Oryzias latipes: one gene and its partners. The protein of the gene in region 3 purifies or fractionates together with the protein of the main gene of each other region. This does not show direct contact. Links are inferred from orthologs where the notes say so. Each region holds a gene or a part of one and is shown on either strand. Other genes may lie near its edges.

What was found.
Region 1: the proteins of dcaf1 (region 3) and cops4 purify together in Homo sapiens (affinity purification with mass spectrometry; 4 studies listed by BioGRID, with this or other methods). This does not show direct contact. The link is inferred for Oryzias latipes from reciprocal best matches to the Homo sapiens genes DCAF1 and COPS4.
Region 2: the proteins of dcaf1 (region 3) and dyrk2 purify together in Homo sapiens (affinity purification with western blotting; 5 studies listed by BioGRID and IntAct, with this or other methods). This does not show direct contact. The link is inferred for Oryzias latipes from reciprocal best matches to the Homo sapiens genes DCAF1 and DYRK2.
Region 4: the proteins of dcaf1 (region 3) and cep78 purify together in Homo sapiens (affinity purification with western blotting; 3 studies listed by BioGRID, with this or other methods). This does not show direct contact. The link is inferred for Oryzias latipes from reciprocal best matches to the Homo sapiens genes DCAF1 and CEP78.

Annotation. Positions count from the first base shown.
Region 1 is NC_019870.2:2,887,442-2,894,083, reverse strand, and holds the end of cops4 (COP9 signalosome complex subunit 4), read right to left. Parts: intron 4,655-6,642; coding exon 4,575-4,654; intron 4,485-4,574; coding exon 4,333-4,484; intron 4,257-4,332; coding exon 4,153-4,256; intron 4,085-4,152; coding exon 3,931-4,084; intron 3,858-3,930; coding exon 3,707-3,857; intron 3,637-3,706; coding exon 3,466-3,636; intron 3,372-3,465; coding exon 3,256-3,371; intron 2,646-3,255; coding exon 2,561-2,645; intron 2,204-2,560; coding exon 2,070-2,203; 3' UTR 1,847-2,069; downstream 1-1,846. Other genes in the region: plac8 (placenta-specific gene 8 protein), read left to right, coding at 1,125-1,229. UniProt on the Homo sapiens protein: Component of the COP9 signalosome complex (CSN), a complex involved in various cellular and developmental processes.
Region 2 is NC_019881.2:22,943,147-22,949,742, reverse strand, and holds the end of dyrk2 (dual specificity tyrosine-phosphorylation-regulated kinase 2), read right to left. Parts: intron 5,583-6,596; coding exon 5,267-5,582; intron 5,183-5,266; coding exon 5,019-5,182; intron 4,791-5,018; coding exon 4,401-4,790; intron 4,321-4,400; coding exon 4,230-4,320; intron 3,059-4,229; coding exon 2,421-3,058; 3' UTR 2,324-2,420; downstream 1-2,323. UniProt on the Homo sapiens protein: Serine/threonine-protein kinase involved in the regulation of the mitotic cell cycle, cell proliferation, apoptosis, organization of the cytoskeleton and neurite outgrowth. Functions in part via its role in ubiquitin-dependent proteasomal protein degradation.
Region 3 is NC_019865.2:16,281,413-16,289,532, reverse strand, and holds the start of dcaf1 (DDB1- and CUL4-associated factor 1), read left to right. Parts: upstream 1-2,785; 5' UTR 2,786-3,021; intron 3,022-4,910; 5' UTR 4,911-4,928; coding exon 4,929-5,041; intron 5,042-5,118; coding exon 5,119-5,195; intron 5,196-5,284; coding exon 5,285-5,358; intron 5,359-5,457; coding exon 5,458-5,571; intron 5,572-6,834; coding exon 6,835-6,972; intron 6,973-7,088; coding exon 7,089-7,685; intron 7,686-8,063; coding exon 8,064-8,120. Other genes in the region: protein SSUH2 homolog, read left to right, coding at 996-1,117, 1,222-1,284, 1,365-1,447, 1,561-1,653, 1,778-1,883, 2,098-2,205, 2,293-2,433. UniProt on the Homo sapiens protein: Acts both as a substrate recognition component of E3 ubiquitin-protein ligase complexes and as an atypical serine/threonine-protein kinase, playing key roles in various processes such as cell cycle, telomerase regulation and histone modification.
Region 4 is NC_019867.2:7,049,675-7,057,980, reverse strand, and holds the start of cep78 (centrosomal protein of 78 kDa), read right to left. Parts: upstream 4,700-8,306; 5' UTR 4,570-4,699; intron 3,913-4,569; 5' UTR 3,903-3,912; coding exon 3,641-3,902; intron 3,539-3,640; coding exon 3,357-3,538; intron 3,216-3,356; coding exon 3,143-3,215; intron 2,925-3,142; coding exon 2,821-2,924; intron 2,158-2,820; coding exon 1,983-2,157; intron 1,903-1,982; coding exon 1,789-1,902; intron 1,616-1,788; coding exon 1,551-1,615; intron 1,454-1,550; coding exon 1,360-1,453; intron 480-1,359; coding exon 362-479; intron 239-361; coding exon 196-238; intron 68-195; coding exon 1-67. UniProt on the Homo sapiens protein: Centriole wall protein that localizes to mature centrioles and regulates centriole and cilia biogenesis. Involved in centrosome duplication: required for efficient PLK4 centrosomal localization and PLK4-induced overduplication of centrioles.

The DNA of each region.
Region 1 (6,642 bases), on a different chromosome or scaffold from region 3:
TAAGAGACTTTTAGTTAAAACAGGTTAAAAGAGAATTGCAGTGGTCTAAAGGAGAAGAGAGAAAAGTGTGGTTAACCCTTGTGCTATCCTAGGTGTTGGGGGCTGGGTCATCTAGACCCACTAGACAGTGCTCTGAACCTTTTTTCTTCAATGATTTGTGATCTTCACTGGTGTCCATGGATTACATGAAATCTTTCCACCTTTATCCAGCTTCTCATGGTAGGGAGAACACGTCAAAGTAAGGGGGGGGGGGGGGGTCATCTAAGATAGCACAAGGGTTAAATAGCTCAAGATCAAACTTGGAAGAAATATTGTCTTCAGTTTAGCCACGTTCCTCAGGTGATAAAAACAAATTCTGACAAGGAGCTTTGAGTGAGAATCTAGAGACAGAGGAGCTATTAAAGGAAATGGTCGTCACTTTACTACACTTTGAGTAGTAAAAGCAGTAAAAGTAGTCTCGTAGATAGGAAAGATTTTTGTAATTAGTTTTATCAAAGGAGCAATAAACCTGAATGTTATCAGCGTATAGATAAGAAATCCTGATGAGTCTCCCAAGGGGGAGCATATAGAGAATGAGTTAAATGGGTCCCAGATCAGAACCTTGGGGAACACCACAAGACACTGACCCCCATAAACAATGGTCGTTATGTTAGAGTATTTTGATTATGATGTTAGCATGTAGGTAGTTTTTTTTGGTTCATTTACAATAACTTTACTAGTTTATAGCTAGTTTAATACTAAGATTTTTAACTTTTCTTCTGCCTTAATGAACATTTTCAATCCTATTTGGTACAAATCATTTTCTTTGACTTTCCTTCAATGTTATTACGGCGTTTTTTGTTTGTTTTTGTTCTAATTTATCTGCCTTCAGCTTATTGTAATTTTTTTATTTGGTTTGGGTTTTGTGTTGAGCTTCACTTTGTTCATTTTCAGCTTTTTTCCACATTTTCTTTAGATGTCCGATAAGAGAAAGCGAAACGTGTAGAGAATCAGTCCTGTGTGACGGTGACATTTCTACTATAAAGTGAAATACTTGAATCCAAACGTGTTTATTCTATAGAGATGACTTTTCAGAGTTGTGATGATGAGGAGCAGCTTCTTCATCGAAGGTTCTGTGTTCTCAGGGTTCCATGTGTAACGACTGCCTGATGTCGCTGTTCTGCCCCGTCTGCTCCACCTGTCAGCTGAAGAGGGACATCAAGCATCGGAAGGAGCAGGGCACCTTTTAAAAACGAGCACCGGTCTGTCCAGGCGGCGTTTGTCCTGCATCATCTTCTACTGTTCAGCCTGAAATCATTCCATTGACTGTATACATGAACAGGACTGACATTCACTATGACATCACACCGACTCGCTCCAGGTCTCACATACAGTCAATAGTAACACAGGAAATTTAATTTCTTCCTAAAAATGACTTGAACACAGATTTAATTTTGACTCAACTTCCTTTTTTAAGCTTCAAAGTAAAAAAAAATCCCTTTAATATCAGAATAATTACTTTTCAACTTTGTTTTTTGTGTCGATGTGATTTTTTACTGAATAAATTGCTTTACTTTGTCACAAGGAAAAGCTGAAACTTGAAGAAAAAGGTTGTTTTATATTTCAGGCCAAAACTACGTGAAAATAAAATGTTGTGCAGCTTCGATGTGAAACGCCCCTTAAACCTCTGAGAGGAACCAAGACTTTCAAGAAAAAATGACCTTTAAATCTTGAATAATTGACTGAGGATTCGACTGTTTTACTTGGTCTCTTATCTATTTAAACTTACATTTTCGTGTTTGCGGTTACGGGTTGGGATAGTTTGACTGTTTAGGTTGAAGAACCTTCTGAAACAGAAACAACTCAGCATCTTTCCACATATCAGCTTTATGCAAAATCCTCCAATTCTCCACCATGAAAACAAAAACAGTCTCATCTGAAGGTCCGGTCCATCAGAAAAGTAAATTCGACCAATGAGGAACCGCTTGGAACAAACGATGGCAGCGTGGCTGAGTTCTCCACATCATTTCTGAGGCAGGAAGACGCAACTTAAAAGGGGGCGGGGCCGGGTGACGTGGGCGTGGAGGGGTTTATTGGGTCATCTGGGCTTCCAAAGCCTGCGCGGCCCATTCCGGAGCGGCCTGCCGGATCTTCTCCAGGAGGTTGTTTACTTGAAAACATAAGGATTGGATCTGTTTGTCCCACGTGGGGAGGGGCTCACGGGCTGCAAGAGGAGGAGAGCTTTTACTAACACTGAATCACAGAGGAGGTGCTGCCCTCTGCAGGAACATTCCTGCTATGACACCACCAAAGAACTGACATGTAATAGTTCTGAACATGCTTTTCAAAAGATGTTCCGGTGAATTTTCCTTTTTTTAATACATCAAAAAATGTATTTTCCAAAAATTACAACAATAGATCTTTGATTTTCTCTTTGACTTTACAGGAAATATATCAGGAGTGATCTTAGAAAAAGTTCCATTAATATTCTACAAAAATTTTAAAGTGAATATTTCTTTTGTAATCAGAACAAACGTGTCGAACAGAAGCAACAGAACTGAGGGGAAGACGTTTGACCCACTTTCAAAGTGAACGATGCCGTCGATCTGGTCTATGAAGCCGTTCATGCGCCCCTCAGTGATCATCTGGGAGGCGATCTTCTCCGCCTGGCGGGAAAAAAGCGGCGTTTTACATCAGCGGAGAACCGACTTCAGTTGCAACGCCGCTGAAGCTGCGAGGCGATGGACGAGCTGACGTTTGGACTCGTGGTTTCGTTCTCGCTGACTCCCTCATCCGAACCTCCCACACTCCCCCACCCGCTCCAATATTTGGATTTCATCCAGTGCTGAACCGGTACTTTAGAAAATGTTCTGGAACCTAAACATTGCTTGAACCAGAGATCCAAAAATGAAAAAAAAAAAAAAAACAACAACAAAAAACACCCGTTTTAACAAAAAAACCCATGTAAGTGTGATGAATCAGCATGACAGTGTGAAGGAGAGCGCTTGAATGTTTGTTGGGAAGTACAGACAAACTTTTGGTTCGACATTTTCATGGAAGCTCCGCCCATCCCCGCCTATTGTTATTGGACCCCACCCACACTCACTGGAAATGTAAAATAATTGGCTAGAATTGTGCAGTAAAACTGAATAGAATACAAGAATCCAAAACAAAACATCTTGCATTTTTGTGCAACCCCAGTGGTGTTGTCTACACCAGTACCCTTCCCTGCTCCGACCTGCTCGTAGTCTACGGTTCCATTCCAAAGCGTCTCACCTTTGCAGGTGGAATTTCCAGCAGAGCGCCGAGTTCCTCGAACGTAATGTTGTTGTAGAGTTTACTGGCAGACAGCAGGTTGTGTTCGATCACAGCTCTGTCGAGGATGCTGGAGCCTGGAGAGCAAGATGGGAGAAGCTTGCTCTAAGGGCCGTTTTTCCGTCTGCAAACTGCCCTTCCACCCTGAGCCTTCCTGGTTTCTGCTCTTACCGTCAGCGGTGGTGGCTTTCTGGTGAGGCATCAACATGGCAGCAAACTCCTGCAGCTGGTTACCCCTGATGATGCGGTCCAGGTACATCTTCTCTAGAATGCCGTAGGCGGCCAGCTGCTGACAGCGCTCGTCCTTGAACAGAGTGGCCAGCATCCGTGAGCGCTGCTGTCCTGAAACGACGCACATCGTTTAAAGGAACCGGACGCGGAGAGGCCCGTTTCCCCGGGAGCCAGCTGCTACCTGCGGAGGCCAGGATGGTGCAGTTCAGGGCGTGCTTCAGAGCCTCCAGACGCTCGGTTTCGTGGACGATGGACTTGTAGGACAACTCGTTGTACCGCTGAGCTGCTTCGATGAACTTCCTCCTGAAATCCAGAACCCTGGCGTAGCACACCTGCGACAGAGGACAGCGGAGCTGCGGCGGGTCTGCACAAACGTCTGCAGCAGGAAGGGAAAAAGTCGCGTACCTTGTAGTGGATCTGCAGCTGCTCGTTGGAGGATTCGTTCTGCAGGAGCGAAGCTCTGTTGATGTAAGCCTCGGCCTGAACCGGGTCGTCGTCTTCCAGGTAGAGCCGGGCGATCTTCAGGTACGTATCCAACTTATAGTCAACATTATACTGTCTAAAAGGAGAAGGGATTGGTAAGACGAGGGAGGCATAATGTTCAGATGAGCAGAAACGCGTTCTCACTTCTGTCCCGTTTCCAGAGGAATCCCGACTAAAACCTGCGCCGCGTTCCTCCAGTCTCCCTCCTTCTCATAAATGGTTGCTAAATGTTGTCTGATGGAGGCCACCTGGGAAGAACGAGAGCCTCAGCGCCCTGGAGCAGGAGGACGTTTCCACTGAGGTTGAGGGGTTCGACACCTTTACCTGCTCCTCGAAGGAGATGACCCTGGGCTGAATCTTCTCCAGGGTGAAGTGATAGACGGCTTTGGCGGTGCCATCGGGCAAGTTGGGCAGATGCGTGCAGAAGTCGGTGAGCAGCTGTCTGGAGATGACGAGGCTGACGTTCTCGTTGACCACTGAAAGAGCAGAAGACCGTCATGGAGTCAGGAGGATCGCAGCTTCATGCAGAACCAACAGGGGGCGGTGAAAAAACTAAAGATGCATACTTGCTTCCACGAAGGCCTTCAAGGACTCCAGCTGATCCGCATCTATGAGCTGAAGGGCTTTCTCCAGAATCTGTCGATACCTACAACCCCACAATTCAATCATTCTGATCAACGTTACGGGATGTCGACTGATTTTACATTTAAGGACGCTTAAAAGACCCTATGTACAAAGAAAATGACACAAACTGCTGTTTGTTCCTCTACATGTGTGATTCCATCCCCATTGTGCCACGTTTGAAGACCCACCCTGATGAAAACAGTCTTTTTTAACATGTTCTAGTGGCATTTTTCTGTTGATGGAAGACTTATATGAAGAACAGTCCCACCCACAACTCAGAGGTGAATTTCTTACGAACCTCTGCTGCTCTGCAGAAACTATGTCCTAGAAAACACAACAGCTTTTCTTTTTTATTTTAGCAAAAGAACGACATGATCACAAATAACAGACCACTGGGAACGCTTTGAAGAAGAAGCTGAGACTGAACTGTTTTCACAAGAACCAGAGTTTAACCGAGAAACCTCTGGAATTTTTAAAATGCCGGCTTTGCTGCAAACAGTTTCCTGTCAAAACACAAAGAACCAGGTGGAATTTATTTATAAGGACTGAATATTTCTATAAAAAAAGAATAAACTGAACTTTATATTAAACACAGCCTGTCATGAGTCACTCAGACACTGAAAACGTCAAAAAATGATTTTCCAGCCCATTAAAAACCTGGAATCACAACTTTAGACCAAAGATCCCACAAGAAAAACATTAGGTTTATCTTTACATCGGCTCTGTTGAGAGCAATGATTTACTAAAAAACTTTAAAAAAAATAAACATTTTGAATCATGAGGTGAAGCTGAAAGAATTTAATTCATGTAAAGGTCAGAAAAAAACAGACCTAACAGCTTTATTTTTAATTTTAAGAAGTCTTTTTTAAAGCCAAACACATAACTGTTTACATTAATTTATGTTCTATTAATGTATATCTTTGACATTCCTTAAACTTCTGGAGTTTCCATTTTTGTTTATTGATTTAAGGAGATTGTAATATAGAGACCACAGAGCTTAAAGATATTTGAAATATTCATTAGAATGTACAGTGTGTCACGCTCAATAAAGTTAAATTTAAATGACGGTAAAAGAAATATGCACGATAATCTCACAACACTGGTATTAGCGGTCCATCCGTTTTTTTTAAAGCTGCTTTTGGGGCTACGGGGTTGCTGGAGCCTATCCCACCTCCTGATGTGTGAAGGCTGAGCCCCCTGGACACGTTCTTCACAGAGCTACACAACCACGTTCACACCTGGGGACCGTTTAGTCATCAGTTAACCTATGAAACATCTTTTTAGACTGAAGAGCGCATTCGATCCAGAACCTCCTTTCCATGAGGCGAGAGGGCAAACCACTACACCACCAGGCTTAATGTGTGCGGGTTTTCCCTGAAGGCATCACAAAGATGCCTCCTCTAAAGCTCATCATCATCAGCTGCAGGACTCGCGGGTCCCGGTGTCACGCCCAGTTCTACCTGCAACCAAACCCAGAACCAGAACCAGGACTCTGCATGAAAAAAACCCTCTAAGGTGGATCCAGACACATTCTTTGTAAATATGACTTTCACAAAAATAAACTTTCAGCTGATTAAACCTTTGGAACCTTTTCTTTTTAACTTAGTGGATTCATTAGATTTGGATGAATCACAACGGTTTTTTGTTGTTGTTGCTGTTTTTAGTAAATTAATATCATAAAAAAGGGATTAAATGAATACTCTGGATCGAAAAGCTCTGAATTATTCACCTTCCGCGTTTTTGCTGCATGTGCCTTAGTAATACAGGCCTCAATGTTATTTTAACAACATATGAATTGTTTAAAAGTTAAATCTGTGAAGAAGAAATGTATTTCATGATCAGAACATAGCAGTTAAGTTAAACTACATCTTCTTCTTGCTCCTAAAATGAGCCGAATTTCGTGACAAACTAAAAGAAACATTCGCGACATTGTATCGCTTGTTATTAATTCAAAAAGGCGAATCCAAATCCTTAAATAATGAATATTTTTCATAAAGTTCAACGGTTAAG
Region 2 (6,596 bases), on a different chromosome or scaffold from region 3:
CCGACCCTGGGAACCTCCTCCTCTTCCTCCTCCTCGACCTTCGGAGTGCGTTCAGACAAGTGTGTGCGTTTCCACGTGTGCTTTTACGGGAACAAGGTTAGAAAAACCATCCCATAGTGCACACACACACACACGGCACATCTCCACACAACAATTGGATTTATAAATAATAAAATGTGGCAGTTAAATATAAAACTCTTCCTCCCCGCTCACCTAAACCAAAGCTGAACCTGGACGGTCAGCCAACTGATTTGACCTCAGGTTGTTTTCCAGGCGGAGGACGATCTCCACCCGATTACTCTGTTCAAGGCAGAAAACATTCACCGTCTAAAGACAAAGTTAGGTTCAAAACAGAAAACACTTTTAAAAAGGTCTGACTGAAGGTAGTTGTACAGAAATACTTAAAAATCCTGAAACAGGATATAACAGAGTAAAAAAGCTGAAACTGGATACGTTTGATATAAATACAAAGATTTTTTTGGATATGATGATCTAATCAACCACTGAAAACCCAGCGTTTCTCCTCAAATGAGCCTTTCCTTCAGTTTATCTATTTCTGAAATAATAATGTGAGGCGGCTCCGCTTCCATCCATGTAAATATGAAGCGGATCCGCCTCACATTTACGAAAACAGTTAAACATAATAAACATGCCGCAGTAAAGAATGAATATGGCCTTAAATCCTGTACAAGTGTCTTCTTTTGATCTTATCAAGGACACATTTACATTGAAGTGATCTAGTCTGTAACGTTCAATTGTCTTCCTATTTTTTACAGAGGATAAAATTATTTAATTTAACAAAAAGCTGTAAAAGTAACATGTATTAAAATTGTCATTAAAGTTTTCATTTTAACCATGATTTCAATAATTTTACATTTTTTGACAGCCTTATCATTTTCATTGTTTTGGCACATTTGTTTTTGTAAGTAATGATTTATTAAATGGGAAAAAAAGACGGGGTCTGAATTATTTTTGGTAAAAAAGTGATTTTACTTAAATCATCAGGAAAATGTTGATTATGAAAAAATATTAGTTTCTTTTTGCTTTTTTTTTTTACCACAAACAACAATTTACTGTTTTTATGTATTTGTTTCCAACTGGTGTTAGAATCTGAAGCTGAGCTTTAATCAGATTATTGCCCAATAATAAGGTAACTATTTTAAAAGTTGAATGTAAGATTTAGTAAAATGCAGTAGTCAACTCATTTTTCTACCCTTTTTCTGCATAAAGCTTCATTTTTCCAGACCTTTGATGTCTTATTTTAGCTACATTTAAAGTGGTTAACATTTGTGATTCTGCATATTTCCTTCATTAACAGTAAATCATTTGGTTTCAGTAAAAGTCTTAGAATTTTAGCAGTTTTTTTTCTACACCAAAGCATCGGTTTTTCCTCAGACCGTCTGGATCTTCAATCGTTCACATTTTTTCAGATTTAAAAACAAACGTGCTATGCTAGCTGCTAAAGCTCAAAGGTCTTCTCTGCGTTGCCGAACGCACAGAAGAACAATCCTTGTGTTTGTGCGTCATAAGGCTGGGCAGTGGCGAGCTGACATGCTATCCGGCTAAACACAGTCCTGCTAAAGAAGGCAAACCGTGAGGCAGCTACGACTTGCACACGCGCTTTGCTCAGTTTGCTAAGCTGACTTTAGTGAGTTAGTTTGAAGGATAGGTAGCAGAACGACAGCTAACCTCAAACAACTGGCTGTCCTATGAGGAACAAGTGCCAGGTAGGAGTTGACAGGCACCAAAATGTTAGCTACCTGACAGGTAGACTGCTGAGTCAGAGCTGTAAGATCTACGAGTCATTTCTGTAAAAATATTTATGTGCGAGTTTGATAATGAACTAAAAAAGCAAACTGAAATGTTTTTTTATCTTTTTCTTTAGCTTTAAAAAGGAAATATCAGTCAATGAGAAGAAAACTGCTCTCTGAGAGGTCGGACTGCAGGTTTAGTCTCTTAAGACAGAGAATTTTTTGGTGTTAAACTCAATAATAAATCCAGCTAAGAACATTATTTGCACAGAAAATGTTTTCAAAGCCTTGTTCCCTCCATCAGCACCATGTTGTTGTTGTTGTTGTGTTTGTGAGTCTGCTGCTGCAGAAGGTGGCGTGTTCAGATTGTCTGAGCAGAACCCACCTCAAATTGCTCAAATTGTTAAAAACAACTCGTCTCAAACGGAGGTTGGAGCTTCTGAACGTACCCCAGTTCACAAAAAGAAGAAAAAAAGACTTCCATCCCAGCACGTGTTCACACTCAAGCACGGAGTTTCTATTGGCTGTAGTTGTTTTGAACGCACCCCAGCAACGCTGAACGAGACCGTACGATCTTTAAAACCGGAGAGACCGGTTTTATTCAGGTCCCACCGGCTGCTGCGAGCTCAGCTCTCGTCTCCCGCCACAGCGAGCGGGGTGCATTCACTCTCAGCTGACAAGTTTGGGCAGCACCGTCCTAGGCTGGATGTTGCCATTGGCGTCAGTGATTGCAGCTAAGTTAGTCCTGGTTTTGGAGGAGGAGGAGGTTGTTGAGGAGGTTACGAGCTTAGAATTGGAGGTGATGGTGCCGTCAGTGGTGGCACGTTTGGACGAAGAGGTCTTGTCTCCCGGAGTGGTTCCTGTTGGTGGCTTGGGGAGTCGCCTCCTGAGCCACGAATGGCGCAGAGCCTGGCTCGGCGTCATCCGGTGCGCTGGGTCCCACTCTAAACACTGTTTGAGGAAGTCCAGGAAGAGCGGGTCGTCGCAGCCCTTCAGCGCCGTACTCCACACCTTGCTGCCGGGGGGACCGCGTACCTTCCCTCGCCGCGAGCGTCCTCCGTTCAGCACCGTGGTGCCGTCGCTCAGCGTGGTGACGGTGCAGTACCGCGGGTATCCCTTGGAGGACACAAAGTTCTTGGCCCGCTTGGAGGCATCCAAGATCTTCTGACTTGGCATGCCTAGGAGTTCTATGATGCAGGCGAGCTGGTCGGCTTCGTCTTCCCCTGGTAACAGCGGGTAACCAGTCAGGAGCTCGGCGAGGATGCAGCCCAGCGACCACATGTCGATGGGCATCCCATACCTGGAACCTTCAGAGAAAAGGACAAACCAGAGTCAGCCTCCACTCATTTTCAGGTCCTAGACTTCTTTACGTCCGGCTTGGTGGATTTGTTCACAAGTTTACTTTTCTCCCAAAAGTGCGACTTTGACATGATTTTTTTTTCTTTTTGTTTTGCTGGTGCGACGCATAGTCCAAAAAGCATGGTTTATTTTTATGAATAATGCAATAATGCATTGGAGCTTAATTCCATCATGATGAAGATGAGGAAAACCAGAAAACCAAAGGTCTGGACTCCCAGCCACGTGGAACCGTTTCATCACAACGGTTCAATTATTTTGCAACTAAAGCTACGTTCACTGTTCACATCCCATCATTTTTTAGGATGTCACAGTTTACGTCTGAACACGTCGTGTACCAGACTCTAGTGACCGGACCGGAACCCTAAGGAAGGGAATCAAAGTGACCCGCATGTCCACTACAACCATGCTGCACACGCTCAGAATAACACACTTCAGTCTCCAAGGAAAACTTGGTGCTGGATGTTTTCAAGTAAAAGATGCACAGAAGAACGGAAGTAGCACTTGGTTTTCCTGCAGCTTTATGAAGATTTGAGTGCAAATGTGACATAAAAGTTAATATGTTGCTTTTGCCTCTCAAATTTGGTCCGGTCACCACCAAAAACTACAATTCCCAGAACCCCAGTCCTCCACATGGACTCATTGAAAAGCCCCAACTGTCCTCTGTAGACACAAATAGGACGTCAATCATTAGTCTGCAGCATTTGGGAGATATTCCGCTTTGGAAATGTCCTCCACAGAGGACACATTTGCATCTTCAGTCACGATCAGATCTATGTTTTCATTCTAAACTTATTTTCTACAAAAGTTTGAACTTTGAGAGTTTAAGAGAGAAAACTGTGAAAATGTTCACATCTGTCTAAGAAAAGTGGATAAAGTGTGTAGTTTACAGCCTTAAATCCTCTAGAAATTATTTTAAAAAATAACAGATTTTGTCTATCGCGAGTTATTTTTAGAACGTAACTCCTGCGATAAACGCTGATCGACTTTAATTTGAAATTGCACATTAAAAGGAAACGGACTAGTAGAAGATTGAAGCACCTTTAAGGCCAAACCAGAGAACAAGTTTCCTACAAGTTTCTGTGGTTGGACTCATTCACCAAAACAGGTGGATCTTCTTACCTAGAATGACCTCTGGTGCTCGGTAAAACCTGGACTGGATGTAGGTGTAAACCCTCTGATGTTCAAAGCAGCTGGAACCAAAGTCAATGACCTGCAGGAGACAAAGACGTTCATCCGTTAGCGATCCACAAACCAGAAGTGGTCCTCTACTGCGCAAGCCCGCCGTCCCACCTTGATGCCGCTCCGGCCTTGCTGCTTGAGTAAAATGTTCTCAGGTTTGAGGTCGCAGTGGATGATCCGGTTCTTGTGCAGCGCGTCCAGACACTGCAGGATGGAGTGGGCGAACTTCCTGACCAGCGGGAGGCTGAAGCCCTGGAACTTGTTCTTCTTGATGAGCTCGTACAGGTTCATGCTGAGCAGCTCGAAGGTCATGCAGATGTGGTTGCGGAAGGTGAAGTTCTCCAGCATGTGGATGACGTTCATGCTGGAGTCCTTGTCCTGCTTCTTCAGGTGCTCCAGGATGCGGATCTCCTCCGCCGCCTGCCGGTGGAAGCGCTTCTCGTTGCGGACCATCTTCAGGGCCACGTGGGTCTGAGTTTTGTGGTCGAAGGCCTTCACCACCTGCAGGAGAAGCACAGGGCTCGTGACCTCTGGTCTTCAGAGGATGCACTGGTTTCACCCAACACCACCACAGACAAACACATTTCTGAACATTCAGACAAACTTTGCAAATTAAAAGAATATTTTACAAAAAGAAGCTCAGAAGGAAAAAGAAAAAAAAAGGCAGGTATGACCTGAAATGACTACACTTTGACCACAAAAACCCTGAAAGTTCAGCCGGAGTCGTACCTGTCCGAAGCTCCCTTTGCCGATGACTTTCAGGACTTCGTAGCGGTAGGCGATGTGGTCGTGTGGGACCTGGATGTAAGACCCCTGATCATCATCATAACCGCCGTTGTTGGGACCGCCGAGAACCCCTGACCTCTTCTTTGCGCTTGGACCAATGAAATACACTAAAAGGTTTTCAAAGAAGAAACAAAAATGTTATTTTGTGTTTCCAGTCGGTTCGTCATCTCCGCCCACGGAGAGCGGCTCACCCTCGGAGAAGCTGAACACTTCGTGGTGTTCGAACGAGGACATCTTGGACATGAACTGCTTCATGGCCTGCTCGGCCGTCAGAGGGTTCGTCTTTGGCTTGCTGTCGGCGGGCTTGTTGGAGGTGGCGCTGCTCTGGCGTCCGTGCTGGGCCGCCTCAGAGGACTGTCGCTCTGGCAGAGGGAGGCCTGGCCGGGTGGAGCTGAGTGGAGCCAGGCCGTTGGGCTGAGAGGTCAGGACCGGGCGCTTGTTCATGTTTTCCTCGTACAGCGGGGTGACGTGGACCTGCGGCTCCGCCATGGTGGCTTTGGAGCCCCCCTGAAACATTTCAGAACATTTTTAGTGTGTAACCATCACATTTCCTGTCCCAGTAAGAACAGAAATGGCGTTTTTATAATCCTGGATAAAAATAATGTAACCAAAGACACAGAGATTTTAAGAACATTCATCTGACAAAAATCCGGACTATTTCTTCATCCTGAGCGTGAGGGAACAGCCTCCAACACATGTGGGTTCAAACGCTGCACTTCCCCTCCTTTGAGCATCACATGACCGAACCAGAGGATGACAAACGCCTCCACATGAATGGATTCCTCTGAATCTAATTACCCAGATCCTATTGACCCACAGCTCTCTCCTTGTTGAGTCCCTCCCTGTTGCCGTGGTGACCAGCACACCTGGCTCCTTTCAGATAACCGCGTTGGTTTCACAAACGCTCACACAGCCAACAGAGCGCCTCGGTTCAAAGAGATGCTGGCCGACATAATGTTGGATCAGAACCGGGGCTCGTCCATCCATCCATCCATCCATCCATCCATCCATCCATCCATCCATCCATCCATCCATCCATCCATCCATCCATCCAGCCATCCATCCATCCAGGGCTGGGCGATATGGCCCAAAATAAAATCTCACATTTTATTCTTTTTAATTCGAATTTCCGATTTTTTCCGCCCCCCCCCCCCTTACTTAAGGAAATCATTGATTACAAACAGCAGACAACTTTAAGCAAATTTTGCTTTTATTTAATCAAACGCAAGACAAATGTAACCCCCATTTCTGGAATGAATAATAAATAAATGAACACACTCTTGGAATCAAACTTGCGGCTGGGTAGCTCATTTCTGGGGTCTAAGGTTTTAGTTCAATTAATGAACCCCGTCTCCTCCACGGTATACATGGGTACCATGTCTTTGGCTATATGCAAAGCGGCCGCTTCGTTGATTGTTCTCCACCGTGCCCCTTTCCTGTCATAGGTGCAAAGGATTCAGCTACAGTTAGCTGTCCCTGTTTTTTTGGTCACTGCGGTTTTGTTCGCCTCGGAGAGACTGG
Region 3 (8,120 bases):
CAAAAAAATGACACGGCTGCATCATCAGCAAAAGAAAGAGAGAAAAAGAACAGACAAATTAAACGCACGAGTTTCTGATCTTATTTCTGTTTTCGATGTGACGCATATATATATATATATATATATATATATATATATATATATATATATATATATATATACACACACACAAATAACTTATCCAGTTTTGCCCACTTGAATGAAATACTTCTATTGGTAACAAGTAATTGAGTTAAATTTATTTAACCTAACTTTTTACGTCTATCCAATTCAATATTTATTTTTACAACTTAAATTTAGATATTTATCTAAATGTCATATTACTCCAATTAAATCTTTTTCCATCTTAATTTATCGTACTTCTTGAACTCTCATGTGTTTACATGTGTCTATGTTTTAGCCTGTAGATATTCTCATTTTTATAACAATAAAATGAAAGAAACAATATGGAATTGTAGCATGCAATCATCTACCATTACTCCGTCTTTAACATTAAAATGATAGAATGTAGGGGTGTTAAATAAACTCATCATCCTCTCCCTCCCTCTCACTCATGGTGCAGAAAGAATTAAACATCGTAGGACAAAATAACTAGACAATACACAGTAAGACGGCTAAACAACTACCGGTAAAAACATTTGGTCAAAAACCCACACTTAAACCCAAATCCATCTAGACAGGCAAAGGGAATGGTATCCCACAATCCCTTGCAGTGCCGATCTAACAGCAGCATGAGCATGATTCAGTCTGGTGCAAACTTTTTTTATTTAATGTTATATTTTCAATAATATTGAATTTATATAATTCAAAATGAGCAAACAAAGAAAAATCTAAATCAAACTAACATTTGGTGTTTCTACTTTTTGTCTTCAAAGTAGCATCAATTCTTATTGGTACATTTGCACAAAGTTTAGGACAACAATGTTTTCTCTAGTAGTTTACTAGTACTGGGTCAATCCTTATGGCAGCCTAACAAGGTGTTTTATTTGGACCAGGCCAAACAGTGGATGCCTATGCACAGCCACCTCCGGGGCCTTGGGATATTCCTGCAAACTTACCCAGTTTATTTGTGGAAGGGAGGCAGTGCATCAAAGTTCCATACACGTCATCTGTGAAGGTAAGCCATAAGAAAATATTATAACATAGTTGCATCTTTGCATCTTACATTAGTAGGTTTTTTGTATTTTATTTTTATTTTTTTAAACAAAAACTGATCATCAGAACTGCCACAGCTGCGTGGGAATGGGGAGAAAACCTTGCAAAGACTGTGTTGGAGCTGGTAACGTAAGTATTTTCCAGAGGATGAAAAGGTTCCGCTCTGCTTCAATCAAGAAGCAAATGAATGGAATTGTTCTTTCTGTCAGAAACTCTGTTGGGTGTGCAATGGATCTGGATTCCGCATTGGAGATGACAGATGTTACCACTGCAATGGCAGAGGCAGAGAGACGTACGCAGTCAACACCTTTAGATTTATAACAAAGCGAAAATGGAAACCAGTTTAAAATACAACAGTGTGCACAATTTTGAACTTGCTAAGTTTCCAAATGTTTTTCCTTACAGTTGCAATGACTGTAATGGGCAAGGATCCAGGATGTGTGAGATTTGCAATGGAAAACAGCAGCTTCTTGTCTTCATCAACCTCACTGTGAAATGGTTGGAACAGCTGTGAAGCAGCAATCTATACTGTATATTTAGAAGAGAAATCTTTATAATAATCTTATTCGGTTAACATTTATTTTCCTTCTATTATTGATTATGTTTTTGTATTTCCTTGCAGGACTAACAACACTGATGATTATGTTGTGGAACAGCGCAGTGGACTTCAGATGGAAAATCTTCGTGAAGTGTCTGGCAAGGAGCTTTTCAAAGACTCCCAACCCATGGTAACAGTGCTTTTAAACTGTCTTTTTAGAATACAATCTGGTCATAAATGGTGTTTTTTATGCAAGTAAACAATCATTACATTTTTAAAATAATCTTTTACTTGAGTTGGAAGTTTTGTTTTGTTTTTATCAGTTCTGTATTTTTTTGCTTAAGTAAATGTACATTTTAAGAAGTGACCGTTGCTTATGTTATGCTTGTGACTGACTGTTTCAGGTGTACCCTGTGATGGGCTTTCCAGATCCCACTGTGGTACAGGCTTCCCAGCGTCTTGTCAGTGAACACCAGGGAAAATATTTTAAGACATCTCGCGTTTTGCGGCAGGTGTTTATTTATTTATTTTGGTATAATTGGATTCATTCAAAATCTCCTCAATTAAATCCATTCAAAATAACCTTATTTTCTTTTCAGCGCCAAACCATCGAGCTGATCCCTGTCACAAAAGTCACCTACACATGGAAAGGGGAATCCCACATTTATTTTGTTTATGGAAATGAGTTCAAAGTCAGTGCGGATAATTATCCTGCTACCTGTTGTTGCTCTGTAATGTAATTGTGGGAGCAGATGATGAGCTCTGTTTTAGCAATCAAAGCCACAGGATGTGTGGGTCAGTAAAACTGACTGAAATCACTTACCCATATATAAGTTGGAAATTACGGTGGAAATCAAAGCATAAAGGGAAAATATGGGACAAATGGAGGAAAAAAATGAGACTTTTATCAATTTAACCTTTTGACTAAATCAATCTCCAATTATGATTTTAATAATTATTATATTTCAATAATTATTATATTTGAATAATTACACATTAAATGCATTTGTATTTTATGTTGACTATATTTTTCATAAAAAATGCTAATAAACGAGTTTTATTTTTTCGAATGATGTCATTAACAATGGACGGTCGCAGTTGAATGACGTCAAGAACGTGTTCGCCATAATGATAATAAACCGTGAACAGAAAGCTGTAAAATAAGCGAATTAAGGGACGCCGGTAAAATTGTAATCAATGTATTATAATTCTTCAAACAGCAGCTAAATTGGGACTTATTTTGGTAGGTCGATTTTTTGTTTATATCGAGGATATCAAGCAGGAACTTGGAGGAGCAAGGTAAAGTTAGCGCTCTGGCTAACCACTAGGTAGGTTCATCTGTGATGCTTTTACTTGTACTAAGCCCACTTGTGTTTTGAAATACGAGTTCTTTTATTAATGTAAATGACATTAAAACATCTGACCATGATGTTTTTCAATTCCCGAAATTTGTGAGCAATTGTACGTTACAAATGTAGAGTTTTAAGAGACAATTGTGTCTAGCTAGCGCTTTAGGCTAGCTCAGCTGCCGTGTGAAGCAACTGTATTTGCTAAGCAAACAACAAAGCAAACAACAACGCATGAAGCACGGCACTTTCGTGTTGCTCAGGACAGCTAAAGAAACAAAGTAATGTCTTTAAAAACGTTTAAATGAATAACTTATACTTCAATTCTGACTAAATGACAATTCTAAAAAGATTAATAAGCAATTAACTTCGGGTCAACTTTGACAGTTGCATTCCCGTGAGGAACTCACACGTGCAGACAGTCGGTTATGAAGCAGTGAAGCGGAAATGTTTGTTTCCCCCAAGTCTTTGTGTCTGGCGCTTTTTTTGTGATACAAAATCAAATATTAACTGGATTTTTGATAAAACATTTGGAGGAGATAATTAAAAAACACGACTTGCATTATTATGGCGATTAACAGTCAACACTAGCTGTCGAAATAAAATATCAAAACGATTCGCTATTTAAATAAAACAACGACGGGTGGAAGCAGTAAAAAGATGACCAGAAAAAGCAACCCTTTTTTCGACTTGCTTACTAGGTTTAATTCTTGCCGAAAACAGTAAGTGCTGAACAAATCGCTACAAAAAATCATTAGAGTGAGTTTAAAAAAAGCTACCAGTAGAGAATTAAAAAAGGACGAATTTTCTTGTAATTATTAACCCTTGTGTTATCCTAAGGACTTTACCATTGGGAGTGGGGTCATCTAGACCCACTAGACAGTGCTCTGACTGAACCTTTTTTCTTCAATGACTTGTGATCTTCACTGGTGTCCACGGATTACATGAAATCTTTCCACCTCTATCCACCTTTGTCATGGTAGGGAGAACACGTCAAAGTAAGGGTGGGGTCATCTAAGATAGCACAAGGGTTAACCATGCCTTCAACAAGAAATATTACAAAAAGTACTACATGGGTTAATAAAAAAACCAGGTAGTTGAGGTCATATAGGGACGTGTCTGGTTGTTTATTTACCAGCAGGCAAAAAAGTTACATGAGTTTATCGGTTCCTGTTTTCTGCGTGATTCGTTTACACCAAAACAAGTCTTCAGTGCACCCGACCTTAGTGGATTATGTGACCCCCCCCCCCCCTTTTTTTTTAAAGCTCCAAAATTGACACTTTGAGCCCAATAGTTAGCTAAAGATTTGCCCTCATTTTCACTGGTAAACTTTAACACGAATGAAAATACCGTAGTTTTTGGTGTTTTTAACATTATGTGGCATTTTTTTCATTAAGAAACAAATAAGCTTAAAAATGTGTTTCCGAGTATGAAACTAAAACTGTCCTAAAAAGTGACTCAGGTTTTTTGTATTTTTGTGTGTGTTAAGTAAAACATGGCATCATCATAATTAAAAGACCACTAGGAATGTCTCTAAAATGGAATGAAAGATGATCGGAGAGGGTCTTTGAGTCTTTAACCGTTTTGTTCTGAGTATTTCCAGTTGCACCTGTGAAAAGTCACCATACTTCCTCAGAGGCAGTTCCTCACACAAAGTTTATAAGTGTTGAATGGAATTTCAGCCTACTGTTTTAATGTTCATCTCGTTGGATGTTTAATTGACTTTATTCAGCCTGTTAAGATAAATAGTTATATTTGTCACCAGTTCTTGGAGGGCGCAAAAAAATCTGTTATCAGTGCAATACTTGTCTGATTTCATGCTCCTACCCGTTTGTTAATTTAAATAAAGGGGTGCACTTTTTGTTCTTCAGGCCCTTCTAGGCATCACAATGGCGTCAGCACCCGCCAGTGTGGACTCAAAAGCGGAGCTGACTGCTCTGCTGGAGCAGTGGGAAAGGGAACAGCACGGCAGCACACAAGACCTGGTTAACCTTCTTACAAAGTAAGTGCGTCTCTGATTTTTTGTGTTTTATGATGTTAAAGGTGATGTTAAATCTCTTGATGTGCGGTAACTTTCAGAATATCTGAGCTTGTTGAAAAGGAGACAGAGGAGTACCACAAAGCAGACCCCGACCCGTTTGATGATCGGCATCCTGGTATGGAGAAGAGAAAAATACAAACAATTGCTCAAATACAAGTTTAAAGTTTCTTCTATGTTTTTGTATTTTTCCCTTTTGACCACCAGGGAGAGCTGATCCTGAATGTATGTTAGGGCATCTACTGAAGATCCTGTTCAAGAATGATGACTTCATGAACACTGTAAGAATGGATGAGCAAATGTATTCTTTTTTTCTTGTAAAAGTTAAAGCATATTCTATAGTCTACTCAGAAGATCATTTTAAAACGTCTGTATTTTAGTTGGTGAACAACTATGTGATGACGAGCAGGGAATTCCCCCTCAATGCAGCAGCTTGCCGTCTGCTGCAGAACATCATGCCTGGATTAGAGACAGCTGTGGTTTTTCAAGAAAAGGTTTGTTGTCTCTGACTTCATTGCCAATGTGTTTCTTTTTTTTTTTTTTAAACTTACTTCAAAATGACTTTCAGTACTGAGGACACCTGCACAGGATAAAAGATTTTACTCAGTATTTTACTGAATTGCTAACACTCGAGCTGTGTCCGAATTCCTTCACTACTCTCTACTTAGTGGACTATATAGTGCGTTTGCTTTTTTCTAGAGCTGTCCGAATCTAAAATTTCAAAATCCATTGCCCTATAAATTTCCCAGAAGTCTGTGAAAATCTAGTGTGCATCAACGGTCACAAGATTGGCAAATATACACCACAATGTATTGCGTTTGAACAATTTTTTCTTTTTAAAAAAGCTATCCAAGTTTTTCAGAACACAGAAGATTAATGAATAGTCTTTGTTAAGTAATAATAATAACAATGGATTGGAATTATTTTCGTGCCCATTATTCATTCACTCCTCATTTATACTTGGTGATGGTAATCTACCGATGTAGCCACAGCTGCCCTGGGGCAGACTGACAATGTTCGGACTTATCAGGTTTTTTTGGGAAAGCAGTGCTGTAATTGGCAATAAAAAAAAAAGAAGTGAGAATGGTGTCTGTCTGCATTGGTTTTAAAATCCAGGATACTAAATAGTCCTGCACTATATAGTTTTAGTAGTGAGGGGCGTAGTCAAGAAAATTTGGACATAGCCTTGGAGTTGGTGCAGGAACATTGTTTAGCATTAATGCACACTGCTTATGTGTTTGAATAATGTATATGAGTTGCCTCATATTTGCTTTTATGCATTCCAACATTATTCTAATTTACAGATACTGAAAAGCAGGTTAATGCTTTAATTATTCTGTGAAGTGATGGAATAGTAAATTTTCACACACTTTGATGTATTGTTAAAATTATACTACTTAGACTATAACTATTATACTTGTGAATCTTGTACTTAGTAAAATATCATTAGCTAAAGCAAGTATAGTAGCTTTTGTTTTTTCATTAGTTTTTTTTTTTGCCTATGTAGGTAATTTCAAAATTAATAGCAAGAAAGATTAAATCTTCAATTATTGCTTCTTGTCTTTCCTGCAACACCATGTTTTGATGTAAAAGTAAATCTATGTTACTGTGACATTTCTTTCCTATTTAAAGGGTTGCTTTTTTATCAAATGTTTTTATTTGGTCAAGCATCAAATTAATTAACACATCCCCCCGTTAAATTAGGCTTTATAATCTCGTAATTGAAGTGTTCTGCTTTTACAAATTTGTCTTGTCAGGAGGGAATAGTGGAACGGCTGTTTAAGTGGGCTCAAGAGGCCGAGCAGCCTCTCAGAATTTATGCCACAGGATTGTTGGCAGGTGCCATGGAGAACCAGGACATTGCTGCCAACTACAGAGAGGAGAACTCTGTTTTGGTCAGTAAAGACTTTTTATATCTTGTATTAATTCCTAAAAAAGTGTAAAATGTCACATATATGAGTGTATATTCCTAATATTTTTTTTGTTTTCTTAAATTCTTTTTATCGGAAAGGTTCCTTTGATGCTGCATCGTTTGCGTGAGCTTCAAGATAAAGATGCCGAGAACAAGAGGGAAATCAAGCGAATTAGCCCAAGGAAGAGTCTAAGTGCACCTTTGTTACCTTTAGACGAGGAAACTGTTGACCGAAGCTTTGAAGAGAAGCCCTTCACACCAAGTAGAAATGGAGCTGACAAGCAGGGGATGGGACCAGAGGAAGATCGGGAAATTTCTTTTTCGCCCAACGAGCCTGAGAACGAGCTTTCATTCCATCTCAACTCTCCTCACAAGACGAGCAGCCGCGTCAACTCAGCCGTTAAAACCATGATGAAGCCCATGTCCGCCTCAGGTTTATCGACGCACCCAGGTTTGCCTGACGGTAGCAGTTACCTGAAAAGAAGGACTGAAAGGGAGACTGCAAGGACGTCAAAGCAGAAGCATAGTTTCTCTTTGCCTGAGCCAGAGAGGAGCTTCAGTGAGCTTTCAAACAGCAGCTGGTCTGAGATGAGTCCCTGGGTGATCGGCAACAACTATCATCTGTACCCTTTAACCCCCGAGATCGAGCAGAGGCTTATCCTGCAATATCTTACTCCTTTGGGGGAGTATCAGGAGGTTGGTCTCCTTCCATCAGCCTGTACAAATCTTCAAACTGCTTTGAAACTGTCTAATTAATTATTAGTACTTAGCTGTGGCCAAGTACTTGACCCTAGATTTACAAACCTACCAGTAGGTGTCACTGTTGCACTGGAATTGCAGAAATAATTGAGGCTGTTGATTAAGATGGACTCTGGCACGATTTAGAATACATTTTTTTAAAGTTGTTTTGAATGACTGATGTAGGTCATTTTAGGTTATATGTTAGAGGAAGTAAAGCTAATCATTTTGTGCATTGAATATAGAGACAATTTTTGACAAATGGGCATTTAAAGGTTTTTTGAAGTACTGAAACCTTTTTTAACATGCATTTCCTTCTCACTCTTCAAAAAACAGCTGCTGGCAGTGTTTATGCAGATGGGTGCTTGTGAACTACTCATGCACTATATGGAT
Region 4 (8,306 bases), on a different chromosome or scaffold from region 3:
CCTGTTCATCATCATTGCCCTCTTCTTCTGAATCGGCCTCCACCGTGATTTTTACAGTAGCTGCAGCCTAATGAAACATTAAAACAGCATAATAAACACCAGGACTCGCAGCCTCTTGAATGCTTAATATTTCATTGTTTTGGAAAATGTTTTGACATTTTTCTGTTCCCTTTTATGTAAAGAAAAGAAAAATACCTGAAAACTGTGGTCTGTTACTGTTACTCCAGGAGGCAGACCTCTGAAAAAAAGGCATTACCCATCTTGAAGCCTTCACATGACTAATGCATCCAAACGGTGCTTTAAATAAGTAAACTTTCATTTAATTGTTCTGGTTGGTTCACTTGAGAGTTTGACATCTCACCTCTGACGCCCGGCTCGGGCAGCAGCCCGCCATGGGATAGAGCAGGAGCGGGAATTCTTGATTCTTGTCCTAGATTCACCCGAACATCGACCTCCGGGAGATGTGCCTTTAGCAGTGACTGGAGCAGGAAAGAAAAGAAAGCAAGAGTTTTTGTAGCTGTAAATACAGAGATAAGATACTTTAAATAGACAAAAACATGAAGTTCCCTTCAGAGGGTGGACAGATTTTGGCACACAGATTGTTGACAATTATAAAAAAAACAAAACAACTTTATAAATAAACTTTTAAAGAAAAAAACTATTAAAAAAATAAGCAACCCTGTTTTTCTTTATATTTGTACCAGTGAGCAATAAAAAGATAAGAACAACTTCAAGTTAGCTGATATTTAATCCTTTAAAAAGTCTTTAATTTTTTTAAAATAAATCTAAAGCCTAATTTTGTCTTGACTTCTGCAAAAACTTTCTTCATTCCATAGCAGTTCATCTGAATTCTATGAATTTTTTTAGCTACATTAGTCAGAAAAGATCATACAGTAAACATATTCTCTTCTCGTCTTTAAGTTCTCAGGAGATGACAAAAGACATTACACAGACAAGTTGATGTAAGGAACCGTTTGCAGAACAAACTGTTCAATCACAGGAATTGGAAATAGCAAAACCTTTGATTTACCTGACAAAAATAAACGCCACTTTGTAATTAAAAATGAAACTTTGACTCGCCCACATAAACAGAATATAACGCAGATCATGACAAATGGATCTGCTCTCGTGTTTGACTTAACAGTCAACTAAAATGGGTCCATGAAATTAAACAAACAGCTGTTTGAGACTTCCTCCCTCAAACTTAAGTGGGCCTGTTAGAGGTTCTATCTCCTTTGCAGTTGTCTCCTATTGTGGTAACCACACCCCTAACCTTTTGACTCCTCTGAAGCCTCAAACCAATCCCTCTTTCGCTCTGGACAGACTGCAGGAGGATTCAAAAGGAGGGAATGTTTATACCTTTTTTAAACAAAGTTTTTTCTCTGACTGAGTGAAGTTTGCTTAGTGAAGAAACTCTCTGCGATTCTGTAGCAGCCGGCTTGATCCAGTGGTACTGCAACAAAATAAAATATTAAAAGCTATGGCTTAAGTCTATATATAAAATAACATATGGATGCATTTTAAAAAATACATTACTTCCAGAAACTAACCTCCAGTGGTTGCCCGTCTGCATTCATTTCTACTTTCTCTATCACCGTTTTCATCAAAGCTTTATCTGTGGAGAAATGATGCCTTAAAACATCCCCAAAATCCTAATTTTTACAGAGTAATTATGCAATCATAAAAATAATTGATCACATCTTGAGGCTTTTATAAATGAGTAGTTAAATGCAAACTAACAGCGTATGTAAGCGGTGATGTGGAAAACAAAGAACAGAATAGTCTTACCAACTAAAGGGTTACTGCGGATATCCAGCACACACAGAAAGGAGTTTGTTTTCAGGGCTTCCAGCAAACGGCGAGCTCCCTCATTAGATAGGCCGCATCGCTGTAAGTCCAAAGCTGTTCAATCAGACAAAAAAATGTAAAGTTCCCACACCACAGCCAGTCTTTGTACAGGAATATGATTAATGGTTATGTACCTTTAATCCAGAGGTCCTCAGCCAGCTCACGAGCGAGAGCAGCTGCACCCCTATCGCCAATCAAAGTGTTACAGTTAAGAGTGATTCGCCGAAGACCGCTCATTCCTTCCAGCTGTGGATGGCGATACCGCAAAGACTCTGCCCATGCTGTACCATGTCTCTGCATTCCCTGATACTGAAACAACAATGGACAATGCTGCTATCTGAACCTTTGATTGGAATTTTAAATAGTTTAGCCAATGAAATCAATCTTCATTTAGAAATTGCAATATCGATTCTTCAAATGTATGACATATTTCTCTTTCTTTGTTCCTTTTGTTTTGAAAAAAAAACTAGAAATTCATTACGGAATAGATATTTTTTCAAATATAGTGACATTAAATCAAAGAAAAAATAACTTGAATTGTGAGCGTGGGAACTGAAATCAAATCGATTCATTTGTTGGAAGTGAAATGCGAAACTTTGTTCATTTCACGACTACAGTAGATGTACTAATAGTTGAAAAACCAAACGCTATAAACATCTTTTTAATATACATTTTTTCATCATTATTAAAAAATGATTTGATCATCTTTAATAAGCAATATCAATTAGTACAATCAAATCATTTAAAAAAAATGGAAGCCAGAAAACTGATGATGTGTCAACATGTAAAACACTCCCTGCATATTGCCTGTTTCCCTTGGTTTATTTTATCTCAGAAAAATGTCTATGAAGTATTTAGCTGGTAAAGAAAAGAAAGAAGGAAAAAAAAGAGTCAAACAATTAAATAAATCTCCATTTGATTTTTGTGTTGCCTTTTAGAAAACATAAAAAAATGTAATTGTATCTATCATACCTTAATAATGTTGGCTAAATGCTCTGCCCCTCTCCATGTAAGACTGCATCCTGTGAAATCAATTGTCTTGATGGTTGTAGAGTACTTCACACTTTGGCAAATGACTGGAACATACAGATATTACAAAAAATAAAGACTTAACATGTGATTAATTTATTTTAAGTTTAGAAAATATTGGATTAGAAATGGTTTATTTCAAGCAATCAAAGCAAGAATAATGCACAAACAATACAATCAACAGAGTTTTACATCCAAACAGAGATAAATATAGACGAATAAGGCATTAAGTATAAATAAATGTTACTACAATAATAATACATACCTTCCAATCCCTCATCTGAGATGGGACAGTTAGCTAAAGAGAGATTTTTCAAAGAAGCACTTTTTGCCAAACCCTGGAACAGGACATATACATGCAGTTAGAACTCTGTTTATCAGACTTCAGCTTATCCTTGTCCTATAATAAATGTGTAATATATTAGCCCTTTTCTCTTTGCAAAAAAAAAAATACTGATAATAACCATATGTCTGTTTACTTTTGTCAAAGCGATGAGGTCCCTTTCTCTCAGCAGAAGTCCATGAAGCTGCAGAGTCTTGAGGTTGGAGGAAACAGTTAAACAGTCTCCCAAGGCTTTGCACAGCTTGAATGTCATCTCCTTTGAGCGAATGGCTGGAATCTTCCTCTTAAAGGTGGATTTATGCTGCCTCCTCTTCAAAACTGACGGTTCATACAGTTGGTATTGTTATCCAAACTTAGACCATATACTCACACATGCTGTTTTTCTTTAACCATTACCACTGCTGTTACTTTCAGGCTTACCTGTATCTCCTGAAGTGTTACTAGCTTGGTAAGTGCTGCTTATAGCGATGTGGTGAAGGTGCTTGTTAATAGATATTGCTTGCAGAATGGGTGGCCAGTCAGATAGTTTGAGCCGGTCTGCATTAAAGTTCAGCATCCCTTTGTCAAGGTTCACTTTAACAGCAGGGACAGGAAAAGTCTCCTGCTTGGCACAGGCGAAGTCATAGTACGCCATAAAGTCCTGGGCACCCTGCTGGCGAATCTGTGCGTTGTCTTGAACCATATTGTCTGACCTGGGGATGATAATAAGGCAGTCCTTCAATCAAAATACCCAATACTTTTACTTCATTTAGGCCACCATGTTTCTAATAGAATAACAGACAAATTGACTATTTTCTTGTTCTATGCATGCACGCAGTGAGGTTTCCTTTTTAAACAAAGGTATTACACGTGATGTATTTAACAGTACTTCAATTAAAAGCAAGTAAATGTAAACTCATTATTTTTGATTGCACTGACAATTTGTGTTAAACTATCAAAATGCTCAAATAAAAAATAAAATTAAAAAATAAGAACAATTACAAATACTTAAAGATTAACCAGAAGGGGGGAAAAACGAAAAGTTTTCCTGCGTTTTCCAGAACAGCAATCAAAGCAAGTAAAAAAAAACTCTGTTTCTGCAAACTAAACTTTATATGTGAGTAAAACCAAGAAATTGGCTATTAAGAAAGATACAACAAACTTGCATTTAAAATTAATAGTGTGCACTCAACAAATCTTTTGGTTCTGATTGGTGTTTATAGAAAAGATACGCGGGCGTTAGCAAGCCAAGCTCAGCTCGTCCTAGCAACTGTTGGATGCAGCAGAGGACAAAACATTTAAAAATCAGTTTTCATCTGGTTTTCAACACGTTATCCAGTAATAACTACCGGAAAACATTCGAGCTTTACCTTTTCGGGCATAACTGAACCCTCTGTTATTGTCAAATTCCACGGTATAAACCGCTCTGTAGTCTCCTCTTGTGTTGTTATTAAATGCTTAAAAGTGGCGCTGTTGCACCGTCAAAACCGCGCCCACATGTCTTCAACACTGGTATCGGGGTGTCAGTAAAAACAACACACTGCCACCTACTGGCTGGGAGGTGTATTTACTCCTCTGACAATACAAACTGTTATGCTGATGTCAGATCAAGAAAAGCATATGATGGTTTTTCTGTAGCATAATTAAAAAGTAAAGTCAATACCAGAAATGCTTTTCCATTTTAATTTTGAGTCAAAAAATGCAGCTTCCTCTTGAAAATGAAAAAGCATTTCTGGTATTGACATTTATTTTTATTTTATGCTACAGAAACGCTTTCATAAAAGCAACAAAAAGGCAGGTCTACTGATTATTTGAATTTGGTTTAAAAATTTACAAAAATAAAATAAACTTTTCAGATATGAAAAATAAAATAAAATTAGAAATCTGTTGTCAAAAAAAAAAAATCTGAATTTAATGTTAAAATTCCTTTAATTAAAATTGACGTGTTGGTTTTAATTTGTTTTCAGTTTGCTTCCCTGGCTTTTTTACTCAAATCCTAATCAGATCATTTTGTTTGATATGTGTCAACCACTTTGGGTTGATGAGTGTTTCTTAGGGGTTATTATTACTGCAAATGGCTTTTATAGAGTTAAATGTTGGTGTCTGCCTTTTTTCCCCCTAAATTTTGTCCTGAGACTTAAACATGTACATTTACTTTAGTACTAATTTAGACAAGGTTGGTTGTAAAATAACTAAACTTGTATTGTTATCAGTATTATCAGAGCCTTAAAAAAACAGTGCTGAGCAAAATTATTGTCTGCCTGGGGCCTTTTTTAAATTACGTCAAAGTAAGAGTGTTTTCCTCTTTTTTACCTGATGGAAACAAAAGTTACTTGTTTTCTAATGATATTTTAAATCTGGGTTGATTTTTTTGTAATAACTGGTTTACTCTACATCAAGCAGTGTATTTAAACTTTAAAAGCTAATCCGACTTTGTGACTTCTTTAGTAGCTTCTGCTAAATAAATGTTCATAATTGCTGTATAGTTCAGTAAAATAAGTGTCATCGACATTTGAATTCTCTGCCTGGTTTCAAGGTCTCTAAACACTCGCCTCTGCCTCTCGCCTTTTAGCCTTGCGTCACACCGCAGCACAGACCCCGCCCAGTCGCTCACTGTGCGAAAGGCCATTGGTCAGAAACAACGTCAGTCATGATCCAAGCTAGCTTCATGCCAGGAATCCCAGTTTTACTCTGGAGAGGTAGGGAAAAGTCAAAACTACGTTGCGGAACGTGGGGGCACCAAGTTAAAAATATCTCAGACGTCTTTATAGCTCGATTAGTAACGAAAAATACCGCTGGTCGGTTGCTGTGAAAGACATTTCCCTGCATAACAGGTAATTTCGACATTATTTCAAAACCTTTTTATATCTATTTAGCCGTTGAGTTTGTTGATGGCCGCTGCCCGAACTGGCGATGTGTTTTTTTTAAACCCCAGACAGCAGTGGCCTGTATGGAGATGGGAAGCAAAGTAAACGCTAAATGTCAGTTTTGAATATTTAAAACAGCAGTTTATATATTGTAAAATGTTTAAAAGACATTGCCCAGTTTTTATTTTATTTTGTGTTTTTTTTAGTCCATCATCTGTCGTCGGTCTCACATGCTAATGCTAATGATGCAATTGTCCAATGAGGATGAAGTTGGACATAATATATATATTCGTTGGAAAATCTAGTTCATTTAAAGAAAGGGTGATGGTTGAGTTGGGATATTTTGTTTTCTTTTTGGGCTGTTTTGATCAACACGTTTGGATGTCAGCGTGATGACAGCTCTTTCTTTTGTCGTGGGTTGTTGATTTAAGCGTATCCGAGCTTCTATGTTTTCTTCACTTTGGTTTACTCACTTATTTTGTCTGAAACGTTTTTTTTGTTTGTTTTTCCATCAGACCTATTGTGATAATGCTTGTATGTTCACAAAGGCTAAATTATTTTATAAATGAAAAAAGTATTCTTTCTCACATTATTTCCCTTTGATGGCTCAGATGTTTCAGGTTTAGGTTCAAATGAATACATAGTGACTTACATTTCATTTAAACAATAACTATGATTTGTGCATTACAATGACTATTTATGAATGAGATAGACAAGTGTAAACACTAAAAAAAAAAAAAAAAAAGAAATACCTCAATTTCTGTTCAAAAGTATCCTGTTTAAAGATTTTGGGTTTTGCTGCTTCACCAGCTATAGAATCAATAGTAAAAAGTGGAGGAGGAAAAACAATCTTCTCCAACCTCTTGCCACATTTACTTGGAGCAAAATTCAGCTTCCAATCATTCATGATGACGTAGCAAACATCCCTGACCTCCAAGCCTGCCTCATATTGATGCAAGACAAACATTAAGTACTGCAAAGGGTGTCACTGTGCATGCCGTTTGTGCATGTTCAGTTCATTTCCGATTTTGGTTTCTGCATTGAAGAATGTATAGTGTTAAAATATGGCTCGCACTGCTTACTGGGATAGCTTATACTTTGGTTTCGATTCAGAACAGTGGACTTAGAAGACATTTGTGAGCCAACGGCAGCTATCTCATGACGTCGAAACAACTTCACAGCTTCCTGAAAGGAACAAGATAAATTAGATGCCCCAAACCACCCCCTAAACATTAAGGAAACTTGATGTAATGCGCAATGTTCGTCGTTGCAGACCTGAATCCCACACATCACGTTGTGACAAAAAATGTTAATGAGCGGGGTAAGGAACAGTCAGAGGTTCAAGGCCTTAATACAGAATAATAAGCTGCACTCTGCAGACGTAAAGCACCTAATAACATAAATTGAATGATCTTCAAAAAAATATTAAAAGTTGTGGAATCACTTGAATAATGTCCTGTGACAAATTTATGGTGTTAAGAGCACAGATAGGGAAGATGTGGTATAATAGTAATAATTGATACTTTATTTATTCCACAATGAGGAAATTCTTCTCCGCATTTGACCCATCCTCTGGGGGAGCGGTGAGCTGCAGCCGAACCGCGCTCGGGAGGCAGCGTTAAGGGTCTCGCCGAAGGACCCCCACTGGGTGATGTTAATTTCTCACCATTGATATGGTAATTGCTCCCAGTAGCATTGTTTATTTCCCTCTGGAAATCGAACCCCGGATTCCTGCGTGGCAGCCTTCTACCAGCCGAGCTTCCCAGCCACTTTTCTTATCGAAAGAGACAATAAACCCCTTGACATATCTACCTGTGATTACCGAGTTTTCCAATTGTTTTCTATCCGCAAAACAAAGGCGATTAGGAAGACGTAAAATAATTGCTATTTAATTTATTTCTGTGTCCAGAATTGGAAACTCTATCATTTGTGGTCACCAACCTTTATCTCCGGACTTTGTAAAATTGTGGCTTGTGGTCCCTACAAACATTACATCACAGTTGGTATTGATACAAATTACATTTTTAATTCTACTGCATAATATAAACACGTCTTATTAAAAGACTAACAAATATCTTTTTGTTTTTGGCTGCGCTCTTTAAGGATCAACATAGTAAAATCATCTTTCTCCCTTTAACTCCATCCTTAGAATTTTCATCACACAAACCCACCGTCCCAATTTCCTTCTTCTCTACGTATCTGAAAACCAATGCTTTGACCTCATCTAGGCGTGAGATTGA